Linked DNA regions of Rattus norvegicus. The protein of the gene in region 1 interacts with the protein of each later gene in a pairwise test. Links are inferred from orthologs where the notes say so. Each region holds a gene or a part of one and is shown on either strand. Other genes may lie near its edges.

Region 1 (3,904 bases):
CTTGGCTACAGCCAAGTTATCAAAGGCCTAGCCAGGCAGGGACTAACCCTCCCAGACCCCAGGGCATGGAGAGGTTGGGGACTGGCCCAGGATAGAGGATGGGGGAGCACTTACCAAGGCCACCGGGGGTTTGCTGCTTGGCCCTGTCTAGGGCAGCCAGGAAGGTCTTTGTGGGCTGCTGGTGACGCCTCACCTCACTTCCTGTGTTTCTCAGCACCTCCCAGCAGCCACACAGCTCCTGCGCAGCTGCTCCCACAGCCTCTGCTCGCCTCACGCCTCATCATGGCAACTTGCACAAAGGCAATTATCACAGAGACAAGCACAGTCCCCTCTACCCCAATGAGGCAGACACCCATTAGTGAGGTGAACAAAGCAGGTCAACTGGATGGATTATCCATGGCAGCCGAAAACCAGAAATGAACCCCAAACCCCCTGGAGTCAGGTCTGCCTGCTTTCCTGATAGGATCCCTAAGGTGTTTCCATCTCACACACCCTGCCTGTTCGTGAGTTCTGTTCTTACCACTTGGTCAAGGAAGGGATAAAAAGGAGAGTGCTTTTCTCTTGGATTCTTGGACCCTAGACAGAGGCAGTGGCCTCATTTGGGACTCCCACAGCCCACCTATCTGTTGTCAGGACCTACACAGATCCCTTTGTCCCCAGAGATCCTGAAGCCAGCTGAGTCTCCACTGAGAGAGTTATGATGAAATCACTTTAATGTCCTAAGGAGATACCCCAAAACACTGGTAGGTGGGCTTGGTGGGCAGATAAGTTCAAAATCAGCCCTGATGTCCCATCTCTACTCAGCAGTGTTCACACTTTAGGCTGAAAAGGCTAAATAAGGGATGTCCTAGGAAGGGGCTGGCTCCTCTTCTCAGTGCTGTTGAGGCGTCAGGGCGACAGCTGTCTTTCTGCCAAGGCAGTTGGGAGCTGAGTCCCAGGCAGGGCCACTAGAACTCCGTCATCTTCCTGTGAGTGTCTGCCTTCCGCTGTTTCCTCTGTAGGTCGGCCTCCTGAGCACGCAGCTGACCCAGCTGCCGCTGGGCTCCCTCCAGCTTCTCCTGCAGATGGGCTGTCGCCATACCATGCCTAGGGAGAGCCTGCTGGTCAGCATTGCCTCCTGGCTCCCCAGTACCAAGCCCCCAGCTGCTGTAGCCAATGCCCACCCTCCAATATCCAGACCACCTCAGACTCAGCTGCTACTCAGGTCAGGTGACCTTTAGCAGGTATCCTCTGGGCACAGCCACTGGAGCCCATATTGCCTCAGCTGGATCCCACACATACCGGCCAGTGTTGCGGGTTAGGGCCTCCTGGATGCCCCGGATGTCCCGCTGGGTCCGCTCTATCTTCTCCTCAGTCTGGAAGAGCTGCAGGCTCAAAGCCTGCTTGGCACTCTTGCTGGCATGATACATGTCTTTGTTCCTTCTCTCTGGGGTATCCACTCCAGCATCTGGGGTCCCAGGAACCTGGCTTTGCAGTTTTTCATTCAAAAAGTCAAACACATTCCGAGGGGGTGGGCGGCCCTCAGGTCTACTACTCCTCCTCCGACATCTTGGAGGCCTGCTGGCACCAGTCTGGCCTTGCTTTGTCTTCTTCTGCAGTATCTCTGCGCACTGGTCCAGTGATTTCCCTCTAGGCAACACTACAGCATGGATGGGCTCCACCCGGCCTTCTGCATGCCGGCCCAAACCTGGGAAAGACAGGGGCTGTGCTACCTGCTGGACTCTTGAGCTGGGTTGAGGCCTCCCTCTCATCTCAGGGCAGCAAGCACTTACCCTTGCCAAACTCATAGCCCATCTTGACGAGGAGTTTGGAGCCAATGCCCCGTGTGTGTACCTCCCAGCCAGCAAAGGCAGAACTGCAGGTCCCAGTGTCCACTGTGTTTGCTTCCACCACTGCAGGAGACAGAGGGGTCCAGGACTCAGTTCCTGGGTTGGGCCAGATCTCCTAGACGGTGGTCTCCTCTAGTTCCCAAGCATGCTGTGTGCACTATGTGTGTGGCGACTGCCTTTAGAGACAGCTGTTGTATGACCAACTTCACTTTAGCTTACATCTGCCACCACGGAGAAGAGCCCGGAAACTACCAGTTCACACCACAGGTTCCTAGGAACATCTTCCTGTCTTTATCCTAACCAACCCCTCAGGAAGAGTATATGTTACCTACTGGTTCATTTCCTGAAATCTCTATTTCACCTGGAAACATCTTCCCTTTGCTAAGATCTCTTCTGCCCTTCCCACCAAACACCTAAGCTCTAAATCTGGGAAGTCATCTGAAGAAGCCACCCTTTCCTACCCCCTACACTCAGTTCCTTCCTGTGACTTCTTGGCAGCTCTAGCAACAGCATTCCCTTCTCTGTACAGTGTGCTGCCACCTTGCTTCACGGAACATTGACTGAGGCATGCAATTGCTGTGTCTATTTCTTAAAGGCAAAAGCTAGGCCTTGGGTCCTACCCAGGTCATCACACACTCCCTGGTCCCTCAGGTCCTCTCCTGTACATTACTGTGCCAAGTCAGACTTACCACATCATTTGTTCTGCAGCTATCTGGGTAATTTTCACCAATCTGCTCTATTCCCTCAACACCCTGGCTTGTAGGCGCTGATTTTTGCCATACCTCTGGCATAGCTGGAGTCACTTGCATCACCAGTGTCTGAGTCAGATGAATCTGTAGCCTCAGTGCGTAGAGGAGGCAGGATGCTGTCCCCCTCCACCACAGCCTCTTTCAGCAGCAACGAGTCAAACTTAACAGTATAGTAGCCATTGTCCACATCTAGGGTGACAGAGACAAGGTGTAGGTCAGCAGTTTTTACAGGTTAAGCAACCAGTTAGGAGCGAAGTGGGAAACAGGAAGGGAAGGGGCTTGGGACAAAGGCAGACCTGCTCCTTTTGGGCCTAGGTGAAGTCCCAGAGCCCAACCCTGAGGAGGTGGAGAATGGCTGTATGAAGAACAAAAAGGGTGTTTTGAAAAGGGTCTCATCAGGTAGGTCCTTGTCGGCAGTCTCACCAGTGATCCGTGCTGGGTGCCAAAGGCCATCCTGGTGCTTGGCCAGACATGCAGAGCCAGTCTGTAGTAAGCTTAAGTCTGGATCCTGGAAGGGACGCAGCTCATCCACAGATACCAACTGGCCATGGGAAAACCTATAGATTCAACCACAGAAGACAGTAGCTTAGACATGGCCCACCAGGATCAAGTAAGGCCAAGAGGACAAAGGTCATCACTAGGGCACTGCCTGTAATGGAGTGATATTCAAGAAATCAAGACAGGCACACCAGCAAAAACAGCTACACGTTCATACCTATGCATTTATGTACATATACAAGCACAAACACATATTTACTCATATGTGAATATATAGATATTCTCATATTCTCTCATGCATATACATATACTTAGATATTTATGAGCATACACATCTGCATATCCATATGTACAATCTCTATACACATACATATAAATGCACAGAATATACCACATATTAACATATACCCTCATAAGACACACATGTATATACACTAAATGCATAAATGCATAATGTACTCAAAAACATACATATACTTTCAACACACACACACACACGCACACACACACACACGCGCACACACACACACACACACGCACACACACACACACGCGCACACACACACACACACACACACGCACACTCTGGAGTTTTTTCTCTTAGGATACACAATACACAGGGCCTCTTTGGGGAAACGGCTTGTGTTTCTACTCAGCTTTTTAGGTGAGGGTGACAATGTGGCAGAGAGCCTGTGACTACAGCTCATCATCTCTGTTGATGCTCTAGACACTAATATTCAAGGCAGATGTGTTAGCAGTTGGAATACATTGAGTCTTCCTGGGCAGGGGAACTTGGAGGTTAAGGCAGAGTGATCATGAGTTTGAGGC
Region 2 (4,457 bases), on another chromosome or scaffold:
TGGCTGGTTGTGGGGGGGGGGGGGACACCCACTATGTTACTCTGGCTGTCCTGGAACTCACTATGTAAAACAAACTGACTTTGAACCCACACAAATCTGCTTGGCTCTGCACTCAGGAGTGCTGGGATTAAAGGCACTTACTACCACACCTGGCTTAATTGATTGTCAATGTACATTTAGAAGGTTGTATTGGGTATTGTGAAAGTAACAAAAAGATATTCATTTGAATTTGTACTGATGGATGATACAAAAATAGAAGCTGTCATCTGCCATGTTTCTGTTGTATTTAATCTTTTGAGAATTTTTGAGGGACTAGAGCCAAGGAGCAGTCAAGGAGAATCTTGACATGAAGTGATACTCTGTGTTTGGGCTGATCATTAGAATTCTTTCCCCCCACACTTCTGGAAATAAATGCAATTGAGCAAGCACATAGGCTGAAGGGAGAAAGATACACAACCTCTTAAGTGTCACCTTCCCTCAACAACTTGCCATTACAGTGGAGTTTTAATGGATGCGCTATTTGTTGATTTCCTTCAGTCTAGGTGATTATGTCTATAAAATGTCTTTCAGGGTTCACTCTACTAAGGAGCACAGCAACTAGGCATGCTAGGGCATGTCTTTAATCCCAGCACTGGGAGGCAGAGACAGCACCTGATCTCTGAATTCCAGGCTAGCCTCTTCTACAGAGCATGTTTGAGGACAGCCAGAACTACACAGAGAAACCCTGTCTTAGAAAACCAAACCAAACCAAACCAAACCAAACCAAACCAAACCAAACGAGGACAGAGATAGGGTTAACATCTCCAAGTGCCTAATATGTACTCATATATACACAAACGGAGAGAGACTAGGGCAGAGGATTGGAGAAAAAATAAGGTGTCCAGTACGAATTCCTCCAATTTTCTGAACCCTATCCAAAACACCTATAGATTGAATAAATACTGTTCTGGGGTAAGTGGACAAAACGAGTCACAGTAAATTAACATGTTTCTCACCGCGGCTGGGAATCTGGCGCAACAACTGCAAATTCCTGTTCTGGAGTTATAAAATAATTGTGCCCTGCTCTGCCACTTACCAGCTGTGTGATCTTGTTTCCTTAAGCCTTCCTGAGCTTCAGACCCTAAAAACAAAAGTAAATACACAGCTGGATAGATTTCCTAATTAGAACTAGGCTTTTCCAACTTTCCGAACGAACTCCAGGCAGCAAGTGACAGCTTGAGGCTCATCTTCGTCCTTCGCAATCGCTCAGAGCGGCTCACAGCTAGGAGGAGAGGGGAGGAGCCCGCGGGGCGCAGAGCCATTCAGCCAATGGCACATCGGGCGGGACGGGAGTTCCCGCCTCCGGGCGGCGTGCGCGCGCACCACGCCGGCACGCCCGCCGCGGCGGCGCGCGCGCAGGCCCTGCCCTCGTCGTGGCCGCCATTTTAGCTCCTGGTTCGGGCCGCACGGAGCGGTCTGTGGTGGCGGGAGGGGTGGGGGTCCCTGCGAGTTGAGCAGCGGGCCTCTTCTGTGTGGATCCGGCTGCTGGAGTCTCTCTTCTTCCTTCCTTCCTAAGCGTCCGCTCTGGGAGTGCGAAGATGTCCAAGAGGCATCGGTTGGACCTGGGGGAGGATTACCCCTCCGGCAAGAAGCGTGCGGGGACCGATGGGTAAGACAGACCGGGTGCGCAGTCGCGGCTCGGGCTTTGTTGGCTTGTGGCGGGGAGCAGGCCCGGCAGCCGAGTCTTTGTCTGCCATCGGCCGGCTGGGGCGCGGGCCGAGTGTGTGCGGTCAGGGTGAGAGGCCTGTGGTGGCCACGAGGCCGCGGGCGGCGGGCGTGAGGAGCGGGCCGCGAGGCCTCGGTGCTCGCGTGAGGCCCGCAGCCGGGGAGAGTGTCCGGAATGGGGTGGCCAAGGGCACTGCCCCTTGAGCGGCCCCGGGCGGCGGCGGGAGCTGTCTACTTGGGGATAAAGACCAGCCGACCTCGGGGCGCACTGTTTGGCGGGAGACGGACGGCCTCCTTCCATTGAGGCACTTCAGAAGAGGCCGTTGCCAACTTCCGCCCTCTGCTTGCCCTCCCGCCATCTCCTTTATTTCCTGCTTTGCTTAAAAACCGGCCTTGCTAAGCATCAGTGGGGTAGGCCTGTGAAAATACGTAATCTCCCTCCGCTCTGTAAGTTATTTCTATCTCCTCCCGACTTTGGACGCACTTTTCAAAAAGTGATCTTAAGCGTGTTTGAACAAACAACACCCACGTGCAGATTGAGGAATGCTTACACCGATTCTTGGTCTGGCAGTTTGGTTCCTTTTCCTAGACTTTTGCAAAGACGGGGCATTTAGCATGTAAGCAGTTGTATTATCATTTTCCAGCTTTTCTGTGACAGTTCATACTTAAAATGTACTTTAGCTTATATTCCTACCCTTCCATTTTAATTAACTGTATGTTTATACTTTGGCAGTACAGAGATCTGTTTGGTTAGTTAAAAAAATATAACACAGAAGTCCGAATGTCCAAAACTGTTGTATGCTTTTATCATTTTCTTACGTCCTGTGACACTAGCTGTCAAGTCAGATGTGTGGTCTCTTGAGATTTTAAGTCTTTTGGGCTTGCTTTCTAACTACCAATGGGAGGTATAGGTCAGGATAGGATGTGTTCTGATGCTCTCCTTAGATTGAAATATTGAATATGGAAAGTAGGTTTGTTATGTTTTGATTCTGTAGTTTTTTTTTTAAAGCTTGTAATACTAAGCATTGTAATAATACAACATCCCAAGACAGCTAGCTATTCCCGCAAGCAAAAATTCCAAGCGTTCATATTTGAGCTCAGTCAGTTCTTAGGTAGAAATACAGCTCATGATTATTCTCCAAGGGAGAGCAACATTACAGTGATCTTTTCCATACTTTACAGTGGCATCTAGAAATCTCCTTTTCTCAACATGAAACATAAAACTGTAGTTAAACATTACCACCTGTCATAATGCCATTCTTATTGGATTGATAAAGTGTAGTGATTGTCACATTTGGCTAAGATGCAACTAATTTCCCACTTAGAGGTCACTCTGAGATAGTTCTTTTCAGTGTTTTTGTGTGTGTGTGTTCACTACTCAGTGCATTTATTTCGATTAGTGGCTCCACATTGATCACAGTGATCATGGTGATTTCTCTTGCTAATGTATAACATTGGTAAAATGGACTTTGGGTGTATCATGGTAGCTTCATGTTTTCTCTGAGTATTTAATATTTGTCAGTAAGTACAGGAGAGTTCAGTTGAAGAGTAATTCCTTAATTTCTAGAGATTCTGGAGGGCAGTTGTTGCTGTTTCGTAAGTGTTTTGAGTACTTTTTCTTATAGAACTGATTTTCTTTAGCAATGAGTTTATACAGTATTTGTGCTTGGTATCTATTGATTTTCTCTTCCTCACTTAGTTTGAAGGCACTTTTGACTGCCAGGGATTCTGTCCCTCCTCTCCTCCCTCCCTCCCTCTTTTCCTTCCTTTTTGCTCTTGTTTAGTGTATTTGACAGCATAGGCTTGTTCATTTTGTCACCCCAGCTGTCACCAGACCCTGTTGTCTCCATTCCAGCACACTTTTGTGTGTTTGGGTGTATGACCACTGCTTGTGGCAAGCAGAAGAAAACATGGAATTAGATACTTCCTCTTGACCATGCTGGCCCCAGGGGTCAACTCAGTTTTTCACTCTGAACCATCTCACCAGCTCTGGAAAATCTGAGGACATTTTTATTCTAATGGTTCTTAGTATTCCTGATCGAAACTCAATAATTATGATTCTTTGTAGGTAGAAGTGTGTTTCACTACAATCCTGTGGTAGCTGAAATTAAATAAGATGCAGTGAGCAAGAAATTTTCACACTTTAAGGTATAAAGAAAAGAGCAGTAAGTTACTCCAAATCATTATTTCCATCTTTGGAGACCATACTTATTCTTAAATACAAAATGTAATATCTGAGCTCTTGGAATTTGGGGCCTATTTGTGCAGTACTCCAGTTATAAGGCATATCTCTTGTCTTGCTCATTGATATTAAGTGCTTTCTTGGGTTTTTTTTCTATAGATATGTATACATATTAATGCCCATGCTTAGTAGTGTTTATATAAAATATCTGAAGTAGATGACTAGTTTCCATCCTTTTTAGCGCAGTATATTAGTGCCCGTTATTATTCCAAGTACAATTTAAATGGAACATCAGTAGTAACCAGTATTTGCCTGGTGCATTTCAGATATTCCAGGCAGCATTACATTATTAGCTTATTAAATGTTTTTAGTTCCATTTCAAAAACCATAGCTTGCACGTGAGCAAGGAAACGCTGTTCTCGATAATTGTCAGTGTAAACTAAAGTGCTATTTAGAGCACTTTTCTGTCTGTCCATCCGTCCGTCCATCATTTCTTTTTAAAAAGAGGCAGCATCTCTACATAGCCCTGGCTATTAGAAACTCACTCTGTAGACCATGCTCACAGAGATCA
Region 3 (4,641 bases), on another chromosome or scaffold:
TCTTAATTGCTGAGTCATTTTCCCTTATACTCTTTCTATTAGGTCCAAATGTTTCAGCTATTTGTCTGCAAAACAGGTGTAATTTTGTACCCTTTCCCAGAGGATTATTGTGAGACAGGGAAGAGTTACTACACACTACTACACACACAGTAAATCTATAAAATTAATGACACACGCTCAGGTATCCATAATTGCCAACTATTGTTACCAGCTAAGGTATCCACACTTGCCAGCTATTGTTACCATCAAAATATTCAAAGAGTAAATTTTTTCTTTGTTACATCAATCTGCTTCTCATTTTAATAGCTTATGACAGAATCAAATTATAAACACACAATACCTACAAACATGATTCCAAGTATTGTGTGATTGTTTATCCCTTTTTTGGAAGGGGATACACAGTCAGTTTTATCAGCTCAATTTCCTTGTTATACAATAGAGCTATGGAAAAAACCATGAGTTGAGTTACTTCTCAACCCAAGCAATGGCAGGAAAAAGAGTGACCTCACCTCCGTGCCACTGATGAGGGTTATGTTAATGATGCATGCTGTACATCACATCTACCTTGAGAGACACTGGGGCAATCATGCTACACAGTGAGAATGTCTCTAGTTTTGTTCCAGTATAGGCAGTGTCTGTCCCTGTTCAATTTATACACATGAGATTTCTCAACAGAACTCCTCCTATAGTCTTTGGCCCAGCGGCCACTCCACTCACCTCTTCATGGTCTTTCTTAAGGCAAAGTAGATCATCTTTCAGAGACTCCACATGGGCCTCCAGATCTGACTTGCACAGGGTCAGTTCACCCAGGATCCCACGAAGACCACTGATGTCATTCTCTACCAGCTGGCGCAGGGACAGTTCGCTCTCATACCTTTCAGAGTAGGAGAAAGGGAGGGAAGTGGCTTAATTGGCTCAGAGTACTGGGATGCAGGGTTGGATGACACATGGCCTCCAGAGAGTCACACGCCTCAATTTTCCTTACATTCCAAATGAAGGTGAGTTCAGGGTTCAAACATTCTCAGTTAAAAATATATATTATGCAGAAAATATTTTCTCTCTTACTGGAAGACATTAATTATTGTTAATTATTATTTTATAATTAAATTTAAAATTTAACGTGTAAATTGCATACACAAAGCACACTGTGGCTTAACAAAATAAACATAATTTGACTTACTTTGACCTAAAATCATCGGCAGCCAGTTTGCAGTTGTCCACCTGCACGGCAAGTCTAGAATTCTCTGCCTTCGTGCACAATATCTAAGAGGTAAGTCATCATTTAGTGAGGAGCTCTTTAGAAGAAATCCACATATCTATTTTAACAGCCTTGCCACTCATTAGTTTATGAAAGTCTTTCCAAGTTAACATAATGTCTCTTCCAACCCATGATTCCTATTAACTGTGCCACTTCACAGAATAAAAAAACATTCAGTGCCAATTGAGAAACAAAATACAGAAGCAAAAGACCTTCCCTTCCTAAAATGAAGGATTTCACCTTTTCTTTCTTAGTATGTGTAGGTGTGTGTGTGTGTGTGTGTGTGTGTGTGTGTGTGTGTGTATGTGCAGGTGAGCGTGTATATTTAAGAGTATGTGTATGCACATGAGAGTGTACACATTTGAGTGTGTCTGTATGTTGGTAAGAGTGTAGCCTTGTGCAGTGAGAAGAAGGTGAGAAGTTTTAGGTGCTTGTGAGCTGCCACACTTGGATGGTAGGAACTGAACTCAGGTGCTCATGAGCAGTACAATGTTGTTAATCACTGCTGAGCCGTCTCTGGGGTTCAAGGTTTCCTTTATCAGTGATGCAGGGCATTTTGTCACCATCACTGGCTTTTGAGCTTTGTTGAAGTTTCCCACACTGCTAGTGTTTGTTAGAATTGCATCTCTGTGGTCACAGAAATCCATCAATTAAAAAAGGAGAAGTGGCTTTGTTGGTCAAGGGTTTGAAACACGAGTAGGAAGATCTGGGTTCAATCTCACAGAGCTCATGTGAAAAAGGTAAGTATAATACTCAGTGTCGGTTAACCCCTGGTACTAAGGAGGTGGAAACAGTAAGATCCCTGGGGCTCCCTGGCCAGGCCTCAGGGACTGCAGCTAAATCAGTGAGTTCCAGTTTCAAGAAGAGACTCTGTCTCAAAAACAAGGCGAGGAACGCAAGGTACTTGCCATGGACCCCAGACCTCCTTACCCACACTCAGGCATGTGTTCCCTCCCCACACGATCATATATCACGTCGCCCACCAACCCCACATTTTGCACACATACACACAAATAGAGAACGATTTCCAGAACTCAAATGGATGGCATTCAATATCTGTTTGATAAAGAATATAAACACGCAATGATACATGAAGAATGGGGTTTAGAAGACGTCATAACTCAATTTCCTTCACAGTGTAGACAAAGTCTACAGCAAGGTGACATTTCTATAGTCACCCAATAATTCTCTGAGAATGAGATTGATTATTTGAACTAACTCTGGGAATCCCCCTTTCCTTTGTTTTACATCCACAAAGCAACCTGCCCTAGTACAGCTATGAGAGAAAACAGAATTGGAAAACAGAGAACATTGGGAAACATTAGGGCAGTGAGACACCCAACCTTTTGTTGTAGCTCTTCAATGGTGTCAAAGTACCGCTGATAATCCGGGCAGACCGGTGTGGCATCGGGCTCACATTGCTCTCGGATCCTGCACTCCAGCTCTGCATTGTTCTCTTCCAGGCTTCTCACCCGCTCTAGGTAGCTGGCCAATCTGTCATTCAGGAACTGCATGGTCTCCTTCTCATTACTGTTGAACGTCCCTTCTTCACACCATGCACAGTTCCCCACCAGGCAAGGACTGTTACAACCGCCAGTCAAGTAGCACGGTGAGAGGCAACCGGCCGGGAGGTGAGCCCTGCAGAGGAAGCTCGGGGTTTGACATCTGGATGTGGCGCAGGTGCTGGGAAGGTAAGTTGTGCTGGTGGGGCAGAATGAGGCAGTTGTGCAGCTCGATGCCCCTGCATAGGGCTCAGAAGAGCAGCAGTCAGGGGAGCCTTCGGAAGCCATCTTCTGAGAAGGAATGAACAGATTGAATGGTGTATTGCTTAGGTCTCGCCTAGTCTCCCAAAGGTCTAGGACTTTTGGCTTCCTGAGACTTTTATATCTCCCTTCAAATGAGTGTTTACAGGACACACCGATGTTTTCTCTAGCCTTGCAGATGCCAGCTTTCCTACAAACATCTCATTAGTGTTGATTATTTACGGAGGAAGTTGTATGCCTCGTAAAAGGAGGATAACTTCAGGTTACTAAATCAGGACTAACGCCATTTCCACATGCTGCTTGGATAAAAATTCTTATTTCAGCAAACGGCCATAGGAAGCACTACCTTTTTGAATGAATAAGGAACCAAAGAAAAAAATCGAGCCATCAGTAATTAAAGGTAGAGATCATTGGAGATACAGAAAGTAATATTCCAACAGGGTTTGATTTTGAAAATTGATTGCTCTTGTCTACTTTACAAATGGACATCACAGCTTATTAAATTGTATTTGTTTGTGCTACCAACCACTGTAAAAATGGCGGTTAGCAATCTCAATCTTGAAGTGTCTTTTTTTTAGTGAGTTTGAAGTATGTGCTTACATGGTACAGGAAAAGGTCTATGCTGAGTGCAAATTATGTGCATTCATTTTATAGACTGATGAGAATAATTGAGTCAAACTATGAATTGGTTATCAAGATCTGAATTGCGATCTTTGGTCATCTAGAATTTGTGGTCTGTAGCCAAGCACTAAGCATGCCTAACCCTGCTTAGTTGGTGAGATTGGATGTGCACTGAGTGGATAGTCAGACACGCAAGCTTTGCTTTCTCATGTTTACATTTTAGAAGCGTTATGCTGTTTTTGAAAAGCAGTCTTTCTTTCTTTTTCCTTCCGTCCTTCCCTCCCTTCTTCCTTCCTTTGAAGTTGGAGATCAATCATAAGGTATTGTTCATGGCACATAATTGATTTACCTCAACCTATAGTCCCAGTCCTTACCTATATTAAGGAGAGCAGAGAGAGAAATTGCAATGAGGGTTTAGCTGTAATCTGTGACGGAGCTCCTTACCCATTATACTTGGGAATAGAGCCAAGGAAGCCACAAAAATCTTACTTTTAAAAAAATATGGAGTCTGTCTCCTCTTTTTTATTTAGGAAAGTCTCAATTTCATGAAAATGAAAAATATTTGGATGTTGGGAATATGATTATGTGATGTCTGTTTCAGCTAACAGTTTCACTGAGTTAAGAACCTCTGGTACAGAACTAGATGGACATTGGTTCTAGGATCTCACCTCTACTATAACTATAAACTGGAGTTTCATGTTGTCTGATTTTAATTGTGGTTTTTATTTCACTTTCAAAAATTACACAGAGAAAATTGCTTTCAGCATCAATAAAAGTCCACTGTGCGTGTGTATGTGTGTGTGTGTGTGTGTGTGTGTGTGTGTGTGTATGCATGGATATGCATGTATGTGGAAAGTAGACATTAATGTTGAGTGTCTTAGATTGCTTTTTATTTCCTTATTATCATTTTTGAGACAGATTTCTCTACATAACTCTGGCTGACTTGGAATTCACTGTGTAGACTAGGCTGGCTTCTGACTCATATTAATCTACCTGAAT

Evidence for each region. The genes of interacting proteins can lie anywhere in the genome.
Region 2: the proteins of Zgpat (region 1) and Dhx15 interact in binary tests that used the Homo sapiens proteins (3 or more experiments, as listed by UniProt). The two-hybrid records come from large-scale screens. The link is inferred for Rattus norvegicus from reciprocal best matches to the Homo sapiens genes ZGPAT and DHX15.
Region 3: the proteins of Zgpat (region 1) and Krt40 interact in binary tests that used the Homo sapiens proteins (3 or more experiments, as listed by UniProt). The two-hybrid records come from large-scale screens. The link is inferred for Rattus norvegicus from reciprocal best matches to the Homo sapiens genes ZGPAT and KRT40.

What each region holds. Positions count from the first base shown.
Region 1 is NC_086021.1:188,864,706-188,868,609, reverse strand, and holds the end of Zgpat (zinc finger CCCH-type with G patch domain-containing protein), read right to left. Parts: intron 3,136-3,904; coding exon 3,002-3,135; intron 2,768-3,001; coding exon 2,612-2,767; intron 1,893-2,611; coding exon 1,773-1,892; intron 1,688-1,772; coding exon 1,282-1,687; intron 1,087-1,281; coding exon 948-1,086; 3' UTR 696-947; downstream 1-695. UniProt on the Homo sapiens protein: Transcription repressor that specifically binds the 5'-GGAG[GA]A[GA]A-3' consensus sequence. Represses transcription by recruiting the chromatin multiprotein complex NuRD to target promoters.
Region 2 is NC_086032.1:62,998,489-63,002,945, forward strand, and holds the start of Dhx15 (ATP-dependent RNA helicase DHX15), read left to right. Parts: upstream 1-1,409; 5' UTR 1,410-1,577; coding exon 1,578-1,648; intron 1,649-4,457.
Region 3 is NC_086028.1:84,995,851-85,000,491, forward strand, and holds the start of Krt40 (keratin, type I cytoskeletal 40), read right to left. Parts: upstream 3,049-4,641; coding exon 2,602-3,048; intron 1,264-2,601; coding exon 1,181-1,263; intron 875-1,180; coding exon 718-874; intron 1-717. UniProt on the Homo sapiens protein: May play a role in late hair differentiation.